2 linked regions of the Lonchura striata genome follow. The protein of the gene in region 1 interacts with the protein of each later gene in a pairwise test. Links are inferred from orthologs where the notes say so. Each region holds a gene or a part of one and is shown on either strand. Other genes may lie near its edges.

The links.
Region 2: the proteins of POLDIP3 (region 1) and ERH interact in a two-hybrid assay, tested with the Homo sapiens proteins (2 studies listed by BioGRID, with this or other methods). The link is inferred for Lonchura striata from reciprocal best matches to the Homo sapiens genes POLDIP3 and ERH.

Annotation. Positions count from the first base shown.
Region 1 is NC_134607.1:57,867,594-57,871,501, forward strand, and holds the start of POLDIP3 (polymerase delta-interacting protein 3), read left to right. Parts: upstream 1-929; 5' UTR 930-1,030; coding exon 1,031-1,089; intron 1,090-3,908. UniProt on the Homo sapiens protein: Is involved in regulation of translation. Is preferentially associated with CBC-bound spliced mRNA-protein complexes during the pioneer round of mRNA translation. Contributes to enhanced translational efficiency of spliced over nonspliced mRNAs.
Region 2 is NC_134608.1:33,811,395-33,815,302, reverse strand, and holds the start of ERH (enhancer of rudimentary homolog), read left to right. Parts: upstream 1-938; 5' UTR 939-1,045; coding exon 1,046-1,048; intron 1,049-3,908. Other genes in the region: SLC39A9 (zinc transporter ZIP9), read right to left, coding at 255-350. UniProt on the Homo sapiens protein: May have a role in the cell cycle.

The sequences.
Region 1 (3,908 bases):
AAATATCTATTATGGAATAGAAGAAGTGAAATAAAAAAGCCCCAGGGTTAGTGCAGCTCAGCTGGGGAAGCAGAAGGGAACAGCGGGGTGCGAAGGGGTCAGAAGCGAAGCTCGTGACAGAGCTGCGGCGGGAGCCAAGCCGCATTTGGGGGAAGCCGAGGCTGTGCCGTGCTGCGAAGCGGCGCGTTGAGGGCGGCAGCACGCCTCGGCCCGCACGGAGAGCCGCAGGGACCCGGCAGCTCACCGCTGCCCCAGCTGCACAAGGCACCGTTCCGCTTTCACTCTTCGCGTGATTTTAAACGGTGGAACTGCTCCCTCAGAAGAACGGAAAAGGAATTGCGTCCTGCAGACACGCGAAGTATTTATTAGGCAAGGCTGGTGGTTTATTTAAAGGAATTTCCGATCTCCAGTGCGGTCGGAATTTCTGCTGGCGTTGGCCCGCGTGGGCCCGGCTGTGTGCCGCCCCGGGGGCGGCGCGCCGCAGCAGTTCTGTCCTTGGCACCCGGGCCACGGAGGGTCGGGCAGATCACGGCACCCGGGCATCCCGCGAAGTAAGCGGGGCACCCAGGGGCGACCTGTACCCGCGCAAAAATTCCTCTCACATTCCGAGTGAGGACCCGGGCGTCACCCCGGGTCGTTATTTTCCTTACTCATAAGTTTAAGGCATAACCTAGAGCCCGCCGCGCCGCCGGGACGCCGCTCCGCACTGGCTCCACAGGTCAGGGCGAGCGCCGCCGGCGCGGCTTCTGGCCGCTCTGCAGCGTCCTCACCGCTGCGCCCGGCTCCTGCCCCGTTTCGCGCCGCGGAACCGCCGCCGCGGGCCGAACCGAGCCCGAACCGAGCCGCGCCGTGCCGCGCCGTATGCAAATGAGAGGCCCGGGGACCGCGGGGAGTTGTGGGGCGGCCCGTCACAGCGGGCGGAGCCGGGGCGGGGCCCGCCGTACTTCTGGGGGCGGGGCGAGGAGCGGAAGCCGCACGGTGTCACCTCCGGGACTCTCTCGCTGCGTCTCATCGTTGGGGCCGCGACAAGATGGCGGACCTGTCTCTGGACGAGCTCATACGGAAACGCGGTGTGACGGTGAAGGGGAGGTGAGCGGCCGGGACGGCGACGCAGCGCCTCGGGCCGGCGGCCCCCGGCCGCTCCTCGGGTGGCTCCGCTCCGGGGGCTGCGGGCCGCGGCTGTCTCGGCGCGGCCCGGCCCTGCTCCCGCCCTCGCGTTTCCATTGGCTGAGCCGCGGGCCTGCGGGTCCGCGCTGCCATGCGATTGGCGGCGGCGGCTGTCACTCAGGGCCGGGGCGGGGGTCGGGCCCCACCGCGGCCCCTGTGCCTGGCGCTGCCCCGGTGGGGCAGGAGCGCTGCCGGCCCGTCCCCTCTCGGTCTCCTCGGGATTCCTGGCGTCGTCCCATGTCTCACCGAGCCCTCCGACTCGCCCTGCCCACGCTGCCTCCTGCTTGTCCCCACCGATTAACGCAGCGCTGCTCCCCGTAACGGGGCGGGCGCCCCGAACGCCGCGGGTACCCGGGCTGCGGTGTCACCCGGCAGTGCCGCGCGCTCCCGGGAGCGGCTCGGTGCATTGTGGGAGGGCTGCGGGCGCTCGGGGGCCGTAACGCCCGGGGCCGCCGGGCGCCCGCGCGGACCGGGCTGCCGGGGCTTCGGCCGCAGCGCCGCCCGGGCTGCGGAAGGCGTCGTCCCTCTAGCGTGGTCACTGGTGCTCCGCCTGGTTGTCCGAAGTAGTTGAGGGGACGTGGAGCATGTTGCAGATCGGAGCTGCAAGGTCAGGTTATTTCTTTGCGTGGCAGAAGTCTCCAGCCTAAGCTGGGCCATTTACTGCCACGGTTGGCAGTTCTTACCTGGATTCTCCTTCGGTACCTTTTCATTTTCGCTTTTGCCGTAGTCTCGCAATGGTTTTGAAGAACTTGTCCCCAATCTCTGTTAGCTCTGTGTGCTCTTGCTTTGTTGGTTCCTTTTTTTCTGTTTTTGTTTTTTTTTTTTTTAATTTATTATTTTTCGGTTTTGACTCTGAATGTGTATACACTTACATGTCTAGAGTAATATTCTGCGTTGCCTGGCTGACATATACTTCCAAAACATTCCAACATATTTAAATCCTAGTCTAGACAAAGCCTTAGCTTTGCGCTTTCATTCATGTTGTCCTGCATATTTGGAAGAGTCTTAGGCTGCTTACTATGCCCCAAGTACCTCCTTAATCCCTCTTTAACTCTCATTTCTTCCAGGAATTCTTCCTGCCTTTTTTTTTTTTTTTTTTTTTTTTTTTTTTTTTTTTTTCTGAACAATAATCCATCTGCAGCACTGTAAGAATTGTTGTGCCCCACACTCTTCTTGTGTGTTTGTTTAGCTCACTTTATAAATTCCTGAGGTAGCAAACTTGGCTTTGTGAAGTCTGGATAAACTTAAATCATTATATCCATGCTGCTCAGTAGCCTAGATGAAATAATAGAAAAAATTTCACTAATAAAATGTACTGGTCCCTAACATATTTAAGCCAGAGCTTAGAATCGTAGAAAGTGAATTAGATCTTTGAGATCTGCTTTTATTTCAGGTGCTGTGGCACAAATACCTCAGCAGTTAATGTTCTTGTAGGGTAGGCAATTATCTGTGAAAGAGAGTTGATTATTAGGGTAAAGACAACTTTTCAGAAACGGTGTAATCTTCAGTACAGTTTCTTAACCTATTTCACTGGGTTTTGTCATCAACAGTATTAACTAATTCTAGTTTAAATGTTGATACATACATTTTTGGTTGTACTTTGACCTCTCTCATGAGCCACTCATCCAGCCCTTTGCAGTGCTCCTGCTGAATGCTTTCAACATTGCTAAATAAATGCTTTTTAAAATTGCAAGGAAGGTCTTGCTCCGTGGCTGTTGCTTTATGGGTACTGTTAGTCTCCTGTGTTCTGTGTATATTTTCATAGGTAGTCTTAATAATCCTCCTGTTTCTTTTAGCTGGTTTGCTTTGGCTGTATGAGAGAGCAGCCATAGGACTCTTAGATAGGTGATAAAATGGGACTCCAGTCCCAGCTTTCCAGACATTGAGACACAAGAATGAGAGAGGCAGAAGCAGAGGTTAAGTCTTTCATTGTTTGATTGTTTGGGGTTTTGTTTTGAAAGATCTCTTCATTGAAAATACATGACTGTAAATAAGGTAAAGGTTGTGGAGTTAGATCAGGAAATAGTAATGTAAAGGTCCATGAAGAATGGAAATAGCATCATAATTTGATTTTGCAATACTACTCTTTTATTACAACGAATTCCAGGTATCTACTTTTACACTTTATAATACTGGGCAACACATTTCTGAAAGCAGATTAACTTTTTAGCCCTCTATTTTGACTTTTAGAAAGTCAACAGCAAGAGTATTTTTTCTCTCTACTTTTTTTTTTTTTTTTTTTTTTAGTACGAAAAAGCCCTGTGAAATAAAAAACTTTAAAAATACTCATCAGAGAGACTCCATTTAGATAAACTGGTTTTGTTCTTAGGGCAGATTTTGAAAAAGTGCATCAGACCTGTAATAAGAAGGTAGTTCTAGTTTTTACCCTGTATTGTGCTGCTTTTTATGAATGTTTGTCTACAAGAACAAATGCTGTCGTTTTTGTGAGCTGTTGTCTTTCTGTGCTTAGTATTGTGATAATGTTGTGCTTAAAAAGTAAAGGCCATCAAGTGCAGTAGTTCTTTTAGTAGATTAAAGAAGAGGCAGTTATTTTAGAAAGTAATTTGACTAATGACTATTCTTGCTGGAAGCTAATCAACCTTGAAACTGGTGGCTTTGAACTGGAATTGTTACTGGTGCTTGTACATACTAAAATTCAAGTTGCTGTGCTCCCACAAATTTGAACTTGCTGCCCAGATTTCTTGAAATCATGTGTAGTTGTATGTTTCCTTCATATCAGG
Region 2 (3,908 bases), on another chromosome or scaffold:
TACGTGCTGAGAATTCACTTCACCTGTAGCAGAGACCCGACTCAAATCTAGCAAGTTTAAATGGCCACTGTGAAACAAGCATAATTTTACACAGTAGTTTTGAATGAAAATTAATACTGCACTCATAACTTTTAAAGATAAAGCTTCACCCTTAGCAGCGTTGCCATATTGCAAGGGGACGGCACCAACTCCTACTGGGAGATCTCTCTGGTTTCTCCCTTAGCAACCAGCGCAGTTTGGCGGAGTTGTCTTACCTCGGAAAAATTAACCGCCAAGGGGATAATTCCTGCCACATAGCAGGCAACCAGCATGGCCAGGGACAGCAGGCAGATGGAGGGGAAGTCATCCATTTCGCCGCTTTCTGTCCGGTCCCTTGAAGTGAAATCCAACAGCAACTTTTCCACCTCCCAGCACGCCTTAACCCGTGCAGCCACGGAGCTCCCGGGAGAGGCTTTGGGCCATGTCTCTGCGCCCGGCGGCAGCGGCCGGCTCGGCCCGCAGCCGGGGTGCGCGGCCGGGCGGGAGCGGCTTGGCCAGCGGCCGGCGGGCCCGGCCCTCACCTGGGCGGGGGAACTTGCACCCGCACCGTGCTGCGCGCAGGGCAGGCGGGAGGGAGGGCTGGGGGACAGCGAGCCCGCAGGCGGCTCCTCGCGGCGGGGCAGCCCCAGGCGGGGCCGAGGGGACCGTGCGGGACCGGCGCTGCCAGCCCGTTCCCGCGGCCGCTGCCCGGCGGCCAAGTGGCACTCGGCGCTTCCCCTTCCGGGCCGCCCCGCCCCGCCCCGCGCGCTGCCCGCCTCCAAGATGGCGGGCGGCGCCTCGGCCCGCGAGGCGCCGCGGGCGGCTCCCCCACCAAAGATGGCGGCGGCCGCGCCCCGCCCCCGCCAGCCTGGCCGCGGCCCCGCGGGCGCGTGCGCGCGCGGCGCTCTGGCGCGAGCGGCTCTATGGTGGCGGCCGTTGGCGCGGCGGCGCTTCCGGCGGGCGCGAGGGCCTGTGGGGGATCGCCGCGCGCCACTTCTGCCGGCGGTGCTGAGGGAGCGGAGCCGCCATGGTGAGAGCGGGACGGGCCCGCCGCGTTCCGCCAGCGCCGCGCCCGCCGGGGCGGCCTTCCCTTCCCTCCTCTCCCTGTTCCCCGGGTCACTGCGGGCGGGAGGGCCGCGGCCGCTGGTGCGGGCCCGGGCGGGCGGCTGCACGTTTTGGCGGGGCAGGGCCGGACGGGGCGGGAGCACAAAGGCGGCGGTGGCGCTCGGGCAGCGGGGCGCTGGAGGCTCCTGCCCCTCTCCCCCAGAGCCTCGGCCCCTCTTGGGGCGCTGCTGGGATCCCAACGCTTTCCTGCGAGTGTCGCCCGTCGGACGAGCCGGCCTTAAATGGCTGATCTGCGATTTCCATGCTGCTTTCCCTGCTCCTCCCCTCTGCTCGAAGGAGGGAAGGGCGGGAGCTGCATTTATGGGCACTGGGAATGGCACGCTGAAGCTCAAAGGCCTCCCTATTAACGTGGTTTGTTGCGTTCATCTAATGAATTAAGATGAGCTGAAGCAAGTGATTGCTGTGCAGTGGGAGGACAGCCTCTTGTCGGTTTGCAGCGAAGTTTCATATCTGCCTGGTACTTGCTCCAGTGCAGTTGACTTCGGCCATGATGTGCAGCTGCAAGCCCTGTCCCTGTTGGCCAAAATGAAAGGTGGGCCTTAGGCCACTTTTTCTGCTTGGCATTTAGGTGTGTGCAGTATGCGACTGGTTGGTATTTGCATTACTGCACATCTTACCCTTATAATATGTGTATATCTTCCACTTTTATTGTTTCAGGGCGCTTTTTTTTCCACTTTATTGTCAAATACACTACAGTTGGTGGAAGCCTCTTTGGGCGGCAGATGCTGTGTAGCTTTAAGTCCTGCTGGTTTGGCTCTTGGCACTGCTTTAACCAGTTTTACAGGGTTCTGCTCTCAGTAGCAGGAGCAATTTCTCAAGTGCTCTCCAGAAGTTCAAAATTGGTATAATATAAACCATGTGATTCCTCATTCTGTGTCCTGCTTAAAAGCAGCGAGTAAACTGTGCTTTTAAGGAAAATGCAAAGAAATTCAACATTATGTATCATCATAGTAACGGTCCATATTGGGCTTCTCCAGACGACCTGGTGCTAATGCAGAAAGGTTTGTGGATCTTCCCTTGTTTTGGTTCTGTCACCTAGGCTCACAGGGCAGGTAATAGGAGACTTCCCTAAGGCTTCTGAGCTTGTCATTAATTTGTACCTACGTGGTAGGACAGGACCAGCAATTTTATCAAATCCAACAAATTTTCCTTTAAAGTAAAACAATGTCAAGTTCCCAAAGAAATGTTTGAAAAGCATTAATTCTACAATACACGTGATCCAGTGGTATTAATTTACATATTTTTCTGAGCCAGTATCTGATAATGGATATTGTATAGTGTCTGAAGTGATAAATGGCTTAAAGTCAGAAGTCTGAATGACTTCTGCTGTGAAGTTCTGAAGGAACTGGCTTACGTGTCTGGCTCACTGATGTTTCTATAATCTGATTATTTGGGTAATTTCAGAATTTATACATTCATTTAGCACTCCTCAGTGACCATCTAACTAAAATGATAGTGCTGGAAAAATTATTTTATGGTAATCTTTGCCAGTCATTTGGACTCCCTGCTAAGACATGCCTGTTCCAAGTACTGTGCACTTAGGAACAGCCAGATACCAACCCACCTTGGGGAATTCCCTTCAAGTCAGTCATCCTCTGGCATACATGAAAGTGGATTTAAATTATCTCCTCTCCTTTGTATGGTTTTTGTTGTTACAGTGTGCAGCTCAGAATTCCCCTTTTTTCCATTACTGATTAGATAAAGCCTCGCTCCTTCTTTTTCTCTGCATAACATTTTCCTGAATTTCTCAGAATCTGCTACTGCTGTGTTGAGACAAAGAACTGAAAACTGTATTCCAAGGATGGGAACACTGTCAGTTATGGGATAAGAATTTGTCCTGTTGTTTGGGTTTTTTCCTGTAAATCCTAACATTTGTCATTTCTCTTTTCTGTCACTGCTTTTCATGAGCACCGAATTGGTATCTTTACTGATTTCCAAAGTATGGGTCAGGATTTTTCTGTCAGCTGCTGATTAATCTAAGACAGATGATATCTGCAGATGCCTTTGTGTTGTGTGCTCACCTCACATATTACCGCTGAAAATGTTGGATCCAACTAGCAGCACTGGAAACGGCCATTTGCAGTATGCTTGCAAACTTTCTGTGGTATGCAACCTGTTAATGAGATCACAGATTGTGTACACTTCAAAAATCTTGCTTTTTTGCTCAAATTACTTGCTGCAGCCAAGTAAAAATGTTATGGAAATAATGGAAGCCACAGAGTGTACAATCATCTAAGCCTTTCCCGCAGAAGAACAAGCTTATGGACTCCAACATTTGGAACAGTTTTCTGTGCCATAATTACTGTTTAAGTAAACTCATTGAAGTGGGAAAAACCAGTACATCTGTTTTGCAAGAAATAATCTTGAGTGCTAAGTACAGATTTATTGTATCACTTCCCTTGAAGTTAAATTGATAACTTAAAACAGCTAATTCTGTTAAAATCTTTCATGTGAACATGACAATGTTGTTAAGTTGGGTCCCCTCTTTGCTCTTTAATTGGGGCATTGGAAATTTTACTAACAGCTTGCATTTGGAATTAAATAAGTAAATGCAGTAATGCCACAGCTCTTATACATTGACTTTATTGCTTTGCTTGTCTGTCTAAATAAAAACTGTTCCTGTGGTATTTTTTTTTTCAACACAATAGCTGTTTACTGGTGATTTTACACATTTTAAAGTTCCATAAGGATTGATAGGATCTGTTGAAAACAAAACTAACACAGCTTACATATATAGTAAATGCTATGTGGAAAATGTCTGTGTC